Linked DNA regions of Neodiprion lecontei. The protein of the gene in region 2 interacts with the protein of the main gene of each other region in a pairwise test. Links are inferred from orthologs where the notes say so. Each region holds a gene or a part of one and is shown on either strand. Other genes may lie near its edges.

Region 1 (6,383 bases), on a different chromosome or scaffold from region 2:
ACCTTCGGCGACTGGACCAATTCGATTCGTATTGATCTGAACTTTCATCCCTATCAATGTGAAACATGATCAAATCATATATCATTTTGGCACCCAGCTCCCTAACTATAAGAACCTGCGTTCTTTCTCTCCGTATCAAAAAAAAATAAAAATCGCCGACAATCACCTTTCTAGGCCTCTAAATCAGAACACTGCGTTCAATACTGTCTCATATACGGAGCATCCCATTACATCTCCATCAAAATTAGCGCATCCGTGATGTGTTACAGTTACTCTGAATTTTTTTCCATACGAACACTTTTCGAAAAACAACATTGCTTCTCTATCCAACGTAGATACTTCAATTGCGACTAGCTGAAACAGTATTTCGATTCTATGCCTACGAAAAGTTAAGATCGAGAGAGCAAAAGAAAAGTTGTTGGAATAATTACGAATATTAATGTTGTGGAATAGATCGAGCGCGCGTCGAAAAGAATCCCATTTCGAAATGAATAATTGTTCTAATTTCATATTATAAACGTATTGTTGTAGATAATCTAGTTTGTCTCCTGGAAAATTATAAAATTTATAGTATGCATCACGTATGGATCATATATATTAATATCGTACGTGGACCGCATATACATACCTATATACTTTTTGGTCTCTGCATCATTATGACATCTGATCTATCATTATTTATCATCCATGTATACATACTTTTCCCGGGTACCTATATTTTAATTAAATCACGTTTTTGCTAGGAATTTTGGAAGAAATTGATTCTCATTATTAATTTCTTGAATCGCTGACGATTCGGTAACTTTATAAGTCGGTAAGTACGCACAAGCTAAATATTGACTTGGGCTTACCATTACGACGACTGTGTTAGTCGAAAGGTTATTGCAACCAACATCATGTCGTGATCGGTAACCGTCTGATGCTTTGCAATAAGTTCCCAACTCCGCCGCTGGAACACCGCAGAGGGCGTAAGCGCGCGGCGAATTTCGGTTGTCACACTAAAGCCCGTAAGGCTAACTGTCTTTATAGTCTTCAGTCAACGCCAGATATAACAATATTAGATGCATAATATACTGTCAAAAACAAGTAACTTTGGAGCGTAAAACAATTATCTTATTGGCTGTTACAAGTATGAACAATTTTCTACACTATATTACAGGTATTCTATGAACGCTGTGTGTCCTGGGAATCTCTTGGTCTGCTTCCACACTGAAAGATAAAGAATTTCGTTATTTCTAACCTGTTTTTCGATTCCAAAGATATGTAGGTATATGAATACGAAGATGAAAATTACACAATCTTGAAATCCAGGTCGGATTTCAATAACAGTCACACAGGAATAAGAAGGAAATTGAAGTGTTCAGGTTTAACGCAATGAGGCTGTCTTTTTAAATTGCGATTTGGCAATTTGAAATGTGCCAAAGTTGCAGTAAACCGCAAGGCACAAATCAAAATGTACTTCTTTTCGAACTAAAAACCCGGGAAATATTCTCTTATAATGTTAAATAAAGTTAACTTACAAACTTCAATCTCGACTGAAACTCACAATAATCATTACAATGAAGTAGTTCAGGATTACTAGTTATCATTTACACAGGTCAAAATATAGAAGGTTGAAAGTTTGAATAAACTTTGTAACTTCTGATCTCCTCATTTCAGCAATACTGTGTTCGTTTTACAAAATTTTCGCATGCAATGAGGTTTTTGATACTTTTGAAACTTTGGGAAACAAGTCTCTACACCCATTTCTTAAATAATTGACTGAGTATTGATTGCAACTTTACATTCATGTCAAGTTGTTACGAAATTATGGGCTGGTTTGGAAAAAAACATTCTAAAAATTCCTAGTAATTTTTCTGCAAGAACAGAAAGGATAGAAAACGGGAAGTATACAGCTGAACATTATCTGTAAAATCATACATGGCTTGGTGTAAACAAAATGCATACCGTTTGAATGCGATCTCGCTGATCAAGAGCATGAGGTAGCGAAGGCCGTATGCAATTTATTTCCATCGGTGTCAAATGGTCTAGTTTAGCAAATGCGCTGTCACTTTTCATGAAGGCATCGACTGAAGTACGTAATTTAGACATACGAATATCCCACAGATCCTAGAACAAATTTTAGCCCTCTTGAGTCTACAAAAATAACAATTTTAATGCAAAAATTTTTGTATCCACCATGTTGATTTTCGATTATCTGATCTTAAATTCAAGGGCTGTGAGTCAGAAAACTTTTGAACGATTATTCGCAGTGCATAAAATGTGAGATTTGCACAAATTTGATCACCTTAACAATTGTTCTGATCTCTTCAGCCTGTGGAATGTCTTCTGGAGCTACACCCAAAAGCATGAGAGTTTCGTCCATGTAGTGATCACTAGGCATTTTTGTGAAAAACCTGAAATACAAAGTTTAATCAATTACTTAATATGTAGATTAATTATTGAAAAAAACATGTTATAATTGAGGCTGAGCTATCACAGTTTTCATGTTTTCATCTTTCGCATTCATTCTGTATGCTCCACAAATACAATGCTTATGATATTAAACACCACTTCTTAGGTAACACTAGAATTGCGAGTCAAATATTAATTAATAATTGAAAATTGTTATATTTAAAAATTCATTGCACAGCTAATGAACTTTATGATAAAGATTATTGAAATTTGTGTTCGGGAAACTATAATTCAGGGTCAATTTGACAAAACTCTCTTCGTCAATATAAATCTACACAAAAAATGTGCAATTAACTATGTAATTAATGAAAATATCGACTATTTATGGAAGTTCAACTTGGCTATGTGGTAGTGTTGAAAGCACATAATTTTGATAATGGTAGCTTACGATAATGTGTATAATTGAAAAACTTAGTCAAGTTCATCATCTACGAATCAGTTCTCTAAGAACCCCGCATGATCAATGAGACTTCATACCTTGTTTATATTCATATTTTTTATGCATGTTTACGTAAATAGCAATAACATGAATAGTCCTAAAGTTGCGTAATAATTTATTTTTCATAAATGGCATTATTGCATTACACTTCGAATTCAGTTATGCATAGAGTTCTATCTATCAAGACTGTAAATGTGTATCTTTTATCATTCTCTTACACTTTGCACGAATGTTTTAAGAATTTGTGAACTTTATTTCTGTAGCTTGTCGCTACCTTCAACTTCGTTAATCCAACCTCAACCCCACTAGAGAAAAGTCATTAAAACAAGGAACGGTACATCAAACCACATTCATACGTAACTTATGTAACGACATGATTGATATTTGAGAAAATGAAAATTTTAAAAAATGCATCAATCTGTGTTGCCATCTAAAATAATGCATAATTTGTCATGGAGCTATAATTAGTAACATTAACGTAACGAAACGTTGGAATAAAAGTAAATCATTACTTTGCAGCTTCAGAAATATTTTGGAATTGGTATTTGTATAATTGGAGTTTGTTAATGCTGAATTACGGCTTACTAATTATCAGGCGGTTTCATTGTTAAGAAATAATGATTTTTTATAAAAATGTATAGTTATATTCAAGTTACGAACTTCAACTTCATGATTTGTTAAGAAATGTCAAGAAAGGTTGGGTTAGGTTAGGTTGACAGTAAGCAGATTATGGGATTCCGTGAATTTGGAATCGCGTGGGGCAAATATTAATAGTAACTTGGATGTTTTTTCTTCGTCCTTCACGTCTATCAATAGCTTGGCGTCCATCCATTCTTGACCGACAATGCGACACTTTTGTTGTTGTTTTAAATTAACTGCCAACCAAATCGGAACTTGAGTAGGTAAGCCGGCTCGAAACGGTCCAATTGATCCAGATATCAAATGAATCTGATTGAAAGTGAAACTTGGTATAATTGTCACCAATTGTTTCTCCCCCAAGAACTCCACTTCATTTGGATCCATGTCTTACAACAGAATTGTTTTTCTATCAACGACATGTGTATGATTTTATAACTTGTTTCTGCTAATCGTTGCGAAATTTTTCGACATTTCAAGTCTGAAAAACCGACGTCGTGAGGTGCAATTAATCGACTAATGCGATTCATCAAACTTTCGATTACCACGATATCGATAAAATATTATACCATTCTTGATTGGCTGCACTGAGTGCGTTTTCTCCAGGGTTTCGCTCTTCTCATTGGTTAAAAAATGGGGAAATCGCACTCAGTGCAGTCGGTTGGAGACGCGATTAAATTACTAGAATTTGAGCAAAAATCAAATAAGCCAAGCATATTACCCGATAAATCGTCAACGCTTTGGTCCTTAGATTACATGCTCTAAGCAGAGATGAGTAGGGAGATCTCCAACGCTCGGCTTTTCGTGATACCAGCTAGGTTGGAGCGTCGACGTGACACCTAGGCGGCCACGCACCGAAGGTGGCCCATTTCCGACCTGACACCTAGGCGGCCATGCACCGAAGGTGGCCCACAATCGTGCATATATAGATATACTCGGTCGCTCGAGCAAGCGGTTGCCAATCGCATCCTTGTCCCCGCTCGCACTAATGTTTCCAGGAATGCAAGAATTGGGATTTTTTTGTTTCAATTATGAATGTCAGCGAATAAAAGTATCTCCAGATTTGATAAATTTTGGATTCAATTAGCGGACGCTGAACCAAAATAATTAACCATTCCCAGCCCGAATACTTCTTTTTTTTTAATAAATATTATTTTTTTATTGATATGAAAATATGTGACGCCTGGTGTTCTCGAATATTTGTACGCGCTGTCTATGGAAAAATATACGAAGCCAGCTCGATAACATTTATGCAAAATGTGCAATGGGCAAGTGGTTGGAGGAAATTTTTTTTTTCTCGAACTGAATCTTCCAGAGAACCATCAGCGAATTCCAAGCAAGCTCCATAAACATACCGAGCAAACGCGCGATCACGGACGTAGCTGTGGTGTGGCTGAGTGGATACCACATGAGGATGAATTTTCAATCACAGGTTTTTGCGCGAAGTTTTCCTGTATTTAAGTTAATTACTACTGCCTTTGCTATAATACTGCATTCAAGTCTTAAACAAAACACTAAAAAATAAGTTAACCACTTAATGTAAAACAAAATGTTAGATCGAGCTTAAAATTTAAGCCGGAGTTACATAAACTAAGATAATTACAAGTGCAATATTGTAAATATTGAGCATTTATTGTTCATCTAAATAAATATGGTTTCCTCCTCAAAAAAAAAAAAAAAAACATGAGGATGGAGTGATGCGGGACACGGGTTCGATCGCAGTTCACTCTTTTTTTTTTTTTATTTTTAAATTCAATCCCGGCTTTTTTTTTTGTATTTTCGGAGAGAAAAAACAAATCAAAGAAAGAAAATTTCGAGAGCCGGTCGATTTTTTCCTTCTTTCCTTTTGCTTTTTTTTTTACTGAACCCACCTTTTTTGTAGTGGGGGTAACCCGGAAGAGAACAAATAATTGAAACAATAAAATTCCGAGAGCGAATCGATTTGTTCCGCGTTTTTGGCGCCTCTTTTTTGATATGGAAAAGTTTTGACAGTAATGGAAAATAGAGATTACTAAACGCAAATGTATTGTTTTTTAATAACACCGGCCCACAGAAAAAAAGTGGCCTGTACTTTTGACCGGACCTACCTATCTTTATGTATTTTGACGCGCTGAATCCGAATCTGAAGTCAGTTTTGCCCGTACACCCTCAAAATTTTGAGTAAATTGCAAAAAAACCATAAAAATCGCCAAAAATTAGCATTTTTGGTAAGAAAAAAATTTATGGAACTATAGACCAAGTATGATTTTTATGCATTTTGGTCCGCTAAACCCAAATCTGAAGTTTATTCAGCCATAAGCCTTTTAAAATTTAATTGGGCCGGTGTTATTAAAAAACAATACATTTGTTTTTAGTAATCTCTATTTTCCATTACTGTCAAAACTTTTCCTTATTAAAAAAAAAACGCCCATTTTATATCAGTCTTGACGAGCATTTCTTAAGAAGTTTGAGAGATGCGAGATCGGAACGACAAAATTATTTCAGTAGCAACAATGTATGGACCCCTCTCCTTTTCTGATATTCGCAGCCAGTTGAGAGGCTTCACAGTGTTCAGTTTAGTGCCAGCAGCTCTCGAGGTAGCAAGATGGTAAGTGAATTACATAATTATTTTACATGTATGGAAAAACCGGCAGGTTTGACGATCGTCTATTTACTTTATAGATTAAGAAGAGAAAAAAAGGGAAGGACCTGTAGTCGTATTTTATACTTTATTTAATTTTCCTTGAATTGTCAGACGTTTTTATTTTTGATTGTATAGGAAGAAGATGTGTGGGGAATTCCATTCTAGTGCCCAAGAATATAGTACACATTTTCGATCATTTTTTCTTTTTTTTTTTGGGAAAACATTTTCCTC
Region 2 (5,293 bases):
ACAAGGGATTGATAGGAATTATTAAAATGTTTAAAATCAATTAATTATAATATTGAGTGTAATTCGAAGTGTTTAGAAAATTATATTCCAAGGTACAACTAGAACGTTTTGAAATACGTCCATGCGATCACATCTACTAGGACGGCTCAGTACAAGAATTACTGTTAAATAACACCCGAGTAAAATAACTCTGTTTAGTATAATACTCGCGTACTATAAGTACGTGTCGAATAATGCTGTATCGAATAAAATCGTGGGTTATACGTTTCTGTGGAAAATACTCTGAGGCGAAAAGGTACCCACTCACCATTGACAGATTTACACGAATTCAAATCGTTATAGGATTCGAACAGAAACAACTGAATAGAAATTGAATTGTTTGAGGCGTATTGACTTTGTTCCAGATTAATTTCAATTTTTTTCAAATGAATCGAATAGGAATTATGGATAGAAACGAAACTGTGCGTTACACATTGGATCAAATTGAAATTGCGGTACAATTCAAACATAAGAAAGTATGAAGAACCTGCAGCTGTAGACACATATTCAAACAATAGAACAATCAATTCGGATGGATTTTCGCACAACGCAATACGTCTTTTTGAAAATTTTGGATTAGTAGCTAACGGCATTAAAATAAACCCGGTTCAATACTTTTTATTTTTTCTTCGTTTGCCGAGGAAGGCTGCGTAATTTCAAGATAAATTCGAAATAGCGGAACCAAAATTAACATATACCGGACCGTTCAACCTCCGCCAAATTTCCGTCAACAACCGCTTGAAGGAGTTCCGTATTCAGACGCATAAGACGGCGATCCATTCTCCGTTTGGCATTTTGATGTTCTGGAAGCGTTTCCGATGACCCCATTGGCGAGGGAGACATCGGATAGTTTGGAGTTGACGGTACAGCCAACGTGACCATTAACGGAGGCAACGCAACTCGCATTTCATCGTCAGGATCCGGTTCCCCGGTAGGCAAACTGTTGTAGCCATACTTCGACATCTCTTATGTATAGACGAAGACACGGGGAAACTCGTAAAAATCGACTACCTGAATACTGACACACTGCAACAACTGTTTTACACTTAAATATTAAGACACATATATTCTGTAACCGGATTCACCTTCGGTCAGTACTAAAATGAATCGATGTTGACAGTACGTATTTTCAAATACGCTGGAATTATATTTTTTTACAGTTATACCTGACACACTGATCGACTAAAGATTACGATAACCGTACATACTTGAGGCGGTTACCAGTATAGGCCTCTAGTCTAGTGATTCATAATCTTTAAAATGGACTAGATGCAGTATCTCCTAATCGCTATCAGGCTGTTTACAACAACGTCATGACAGCTCGTAGAATCTTTGTCGCTTTAATTACATCTAAGTGATTCTAAGCTGATATACTCAAATATCGCTGAAATGGTTCTCAGTGATCGGTGGATCAAATTGATTTTAAATCCTTTTAAGGTAATTGACTAATAGCGGATCCTTAATCTTGCATATCGTTAAGTTTTTATGCGATGTGCTATAGACCTTCGGACTGATTCTCTCGATACCTGAGTTGTAAAAGAGATATAGTGAACGTTTACGATAATGATTTTGTGTATAATTTTTTTGGCTATAGGTATATTTTTCAAAAACCTGATGTTCACCATTGAAATAGAATATATGTATATATATAAAGAATCATATAGATATAGGAATCTGGAATCATGATAAATAAATTAGCTCAGTCTCCGTTACTTGCTATACGACACTGTGAAATACCTTAATTTTTCAATGGAAACTTTGGATTGGTTTCGCGGAAACTTATCCCTCTCTCGGAGAAGTGTAGCTATCGATGAGGCAACTATACTTTTTACTTTGTACAAATCTACAAGTTTTCCATGACAAATATCACCATCGATTTGAAATCCAACATTTTTTCAGAAAAATGAAATAGTTCACGATTTGTGAAAAATCATCACGTTCTCATTTGAAAAAATCATTATTCTGACAATGGTAAATATTCGTTTATAAACAGCAGTGTTGATAGTAGTGAAAATTGTATGATTCTCATAAAATGAACTATAGTTTGCTGGGAAGAAACCTTTTACATATTCATAAAAACTATTTTATTTTTTATAGCAAACACATCTCCCACTACGGGCAGCGATCATTGTTGATCCCTTTGCGTACTGTATTTAAAATATAAATTCGTATACATCAGCGCGAATGTAAAGAAATGTTTGAAATACAAATTGTTGATGGCTCATAAAATAATTTTAGAGCAATTCTCGATTATGCAGGTTACATTATTTGAAGGTGTAAATAGGGTTTGAATAGAAATATACATGCACGCTATTAATGCTGTATTGATTGTTTATTATGAAGATAACATTTTCAAACAATAATTGTCAATTGGTGGAACGCTTTGGCAGTAAATGACCAGTAAATACCACCAACCGCGAGTTAGAAAATTCAAAATATGATATTACTGGACTGCCACAGTTCCTTGGCGGAATATACCCAGAGATGTACAGACAGAACTAGTCATTAGCTCAAAAGATATGGCGGGTAGAGGTAAGGAGGACTAGAAAGTGTTCGTAAAGTAGAGGCAAATTAGTGAAAAAGAGATTAAAGATGGCTGATCACGGCACTGAAGATTGATTTCGGAACGCATTGGAACGCATTCCCAAAGTCATCGTGGAGATGGCCCCGAAGCAGAAGAGGATCTACTCTTCCTATAGTTTGCGGTCGTGTATGGCATAGTCAATTGGTGACATCTCGTCTCAGTAAGATTTGACATGTTCATGTTTTTGTAAACATTATTCCACGCATTATTCACATTCGGTCCCGAGAACCGTTGTCACTCTGTCTTGCAATGGACGATAGCGTAGCGGATGTTTCAGAGCACTTGGACTCTAGCGACAATGAAGAATTCACGCCCGGCAAAGTATTGCAAGACATTGAAAATGCTTGGTTGAACGAGAAATTTGCACCAGAGATATTACCTCATCAATCAGAACTCGTTGATTGTATGCTCGAACAAATTTCTCACATGGAAGAGAACATGAAAAAATTGAAAAAGGGTGACATCAGGCTAGCTATTCATAAGATGGAAATCGATAGAATACGATTCGTTATAAAGAGTTACCTGCGAACGAGGTTAGAAAAAATTGAACAATACACCATACACATTCTGTCAGAAGATGACAAAAAGAGTCCGGAAGAATCTTACCTAACTCCAGGCGAACGCAAGTTTGCTAAAGAATATTTAGCCAATATTGAAACACTTTTCAGAACAGTTGCGCTTCAACACATGCCTGCTAATTTTCAAGCATTCGAAGTTGATAAACTGACTGTTAAACCCAACTTGAACAGCCATGTCTTTTTGCGAGTCAACAAACCTGTGCAAGGAATCATCGTGCCTGGAACGACAAATGATGAAATAGATTTGACGGCTGGTGCACAGCGCCTTATTCAATACCAGCCAATCGCAAGCTTAGTGAAAGAAGGAGCAGTTCAATTGATATAGATGTCACGTAACACATCTTGTTTGACTTCAAGTTGAAAATGATCGATAATCTAGTTATAACAATACCGAAAACAAAAATTATCAAATAATAATTTCAACAGCACAATTAATGTTTTGAACATAGGTTTTGTGAATTCAATGTCTCCGTAGAATAAAGTAGAACAAAGTCACTACAGTATGAGTTAAAACTTCAGAAGTTTAACCATCGACTATTTTGTTAGGGTAAAATTTCGTATCATCCTTAAGGTGAATAAAAATCACGGTTTCTATAATTTTCAAGTAATCACAGTGTTTGTTATTTGAAAATAGATTTTCCAATAATAGTTTCTGCTAGGTTGTTTCTGCTATATAGTAATATGGTATCAGATTCACAATACAGTTGACCATAAAGATATACGATATATTAAAATCGTTGTATTTTTTTAGTTGTTGAAGTAACGTTGTGTTCTTCCAATTAGATTAAATAGATGCATTTTATTAATTCAATGTATTTGTTCATTTGTATTCGAATATTTCCATTACCTCGGCTGTATCATGAAAATACAGTCCTAAGTACTTATGTTTTGAACAATTATGCCAATACATTGATACAGTCCGTAAACAATGATTAAAAATGAACAGAAATGGTTGAAAGCTTGAAATACTTTAGGCTCCTATATCCATCTCACAAAACTATAAGTGAAACCTAAATATTCCAGCTTCAGAAAATCCAAAACCTGTCTTTTAACTGTTCAACTTCTTAGCGAAGCTTTAGTTTAATTTGTAAGTTCTAATTTGTAATATTCTAATCATCAATTGTGCCTTATATAATTCAATTGTAAAAATGATATTTTTAGAGGGACTACTTGCGATACCTGTTATATTGTTACGGAATAATTACGAAGCATATAAATCTCGAGAATTTTGTACAAACAATAAATTGAACAAAATATCAAACCATGTCTTTAATCTTTTTGGGGGGGAATTAGTGAATAGTCCCTGGTGTTCGATTATTAATTATAGAGGTAATCGGCACAAAGTGGGGCAGTCGCTAATGAACAAAATCGTAATTACTCAACGATTGCAATTGCAATTTGTGATTGAGGCAACAATGAAATACAAATTACGTTTTCATTTTCTAATGAGAACAAAGTAAAATACAAAATATTTTAGTATATGAGTATGTGGTACACACATACATATACTTTGTACACGCCCGTATATTTTTGTAGATACCCGCAACGAGAAATTTTTTATTCAAAATACGGTGATTAAGACTTTAACGAAAGTTATACTAACAAATTGTAATACGAGATCGAATAGAGATATTAGGTAATTTTCACAATTGTAATTGATAGTTTATTCCTGTTCGACATCGCAATAACGACCACCTTATGCCCAATGCTCAACAAACCCAGTTCCCTTTCTTACATTCGATTTGTTCATTTATCTATTTACATAGTACAAATAAACATTCGAAAGGTTCTCAATGATTTACATTTCACACACCTTGATGCTCACACACACTAGACTGCTTTTCCCGACTGCCTCCTTCTTCCATTCTCTTTTCTTTCACCCGCTCGCTCACACATTATCACCGTTCTCACATCTTTGGAATCAGTCGTTCGAACTCATCTGCCGATCGTTCGCACCATGGTTCGCACCCATTCAGTCCAGCACACCCGCCATCCCTCTAAACATTCCGCTCTACATACACATATATAATTTGTATTTTATCTTTTTGTAATCATGAAACGCCAATGTAATTTGTAATGTATTTCGCACTAA

The links.
Region 1: the proteins of DNA replication complex GINS protein SLD5 (region 2) and probable DNA replication complex GINS protein PSF2 interact in a two-hybrid assay, tested with the Drosophila melanogaster proteins (2 studies listed by BioGRID). The link is inferred for Neodiprion lecontei from reciprocal best matches to the Drosophila melanogaster genes Sld5 and Psf2.

What each region holds. Positions count from the first base shown.
Region 1 is NC_060264.1:16,899,516-16,905,898, forward strand, and holds probable DNA replication complex GINS protein PSF2, read right to left. Parts: upstream 4,042-6,383; 5' UTR 3,917-4,041; coding exon 3,672-3,916; exon of another isoform or gene 3,565-3,671; coding exon of another isoform or gene 3,554-3,564; intron 2,397-3,553; coding exon 2,288-2,396; intron 2,110-2,287; coding exon 1,948-2,109; intron 1,650-1,947; exon of another isoform or gene 1,639-1,649; intron 1,210-1,638; coding exon 1,165-1,209; 3' UTR 1,092-1,164; downstream 1-1,091. UniProt on the Drosophila melanogaster protein: The GINS complex plays an essential role in the initiation of DNA replication.
Region 2 is NC_060261.1:11,940,331-11,945,623, forward strand, and holds DNA replication complex GINS protein SLD5, read left to right. Parts: upstream 1-2,726; 5' UTR 2,727-2,872; coding exon 2,873-3,526; 3' UTR 3,527-4,450; downstream 4,451-5,293. Other genes in the region: transient receptor potential channel pyrexia-like, read right to left, coding at 743-1,002.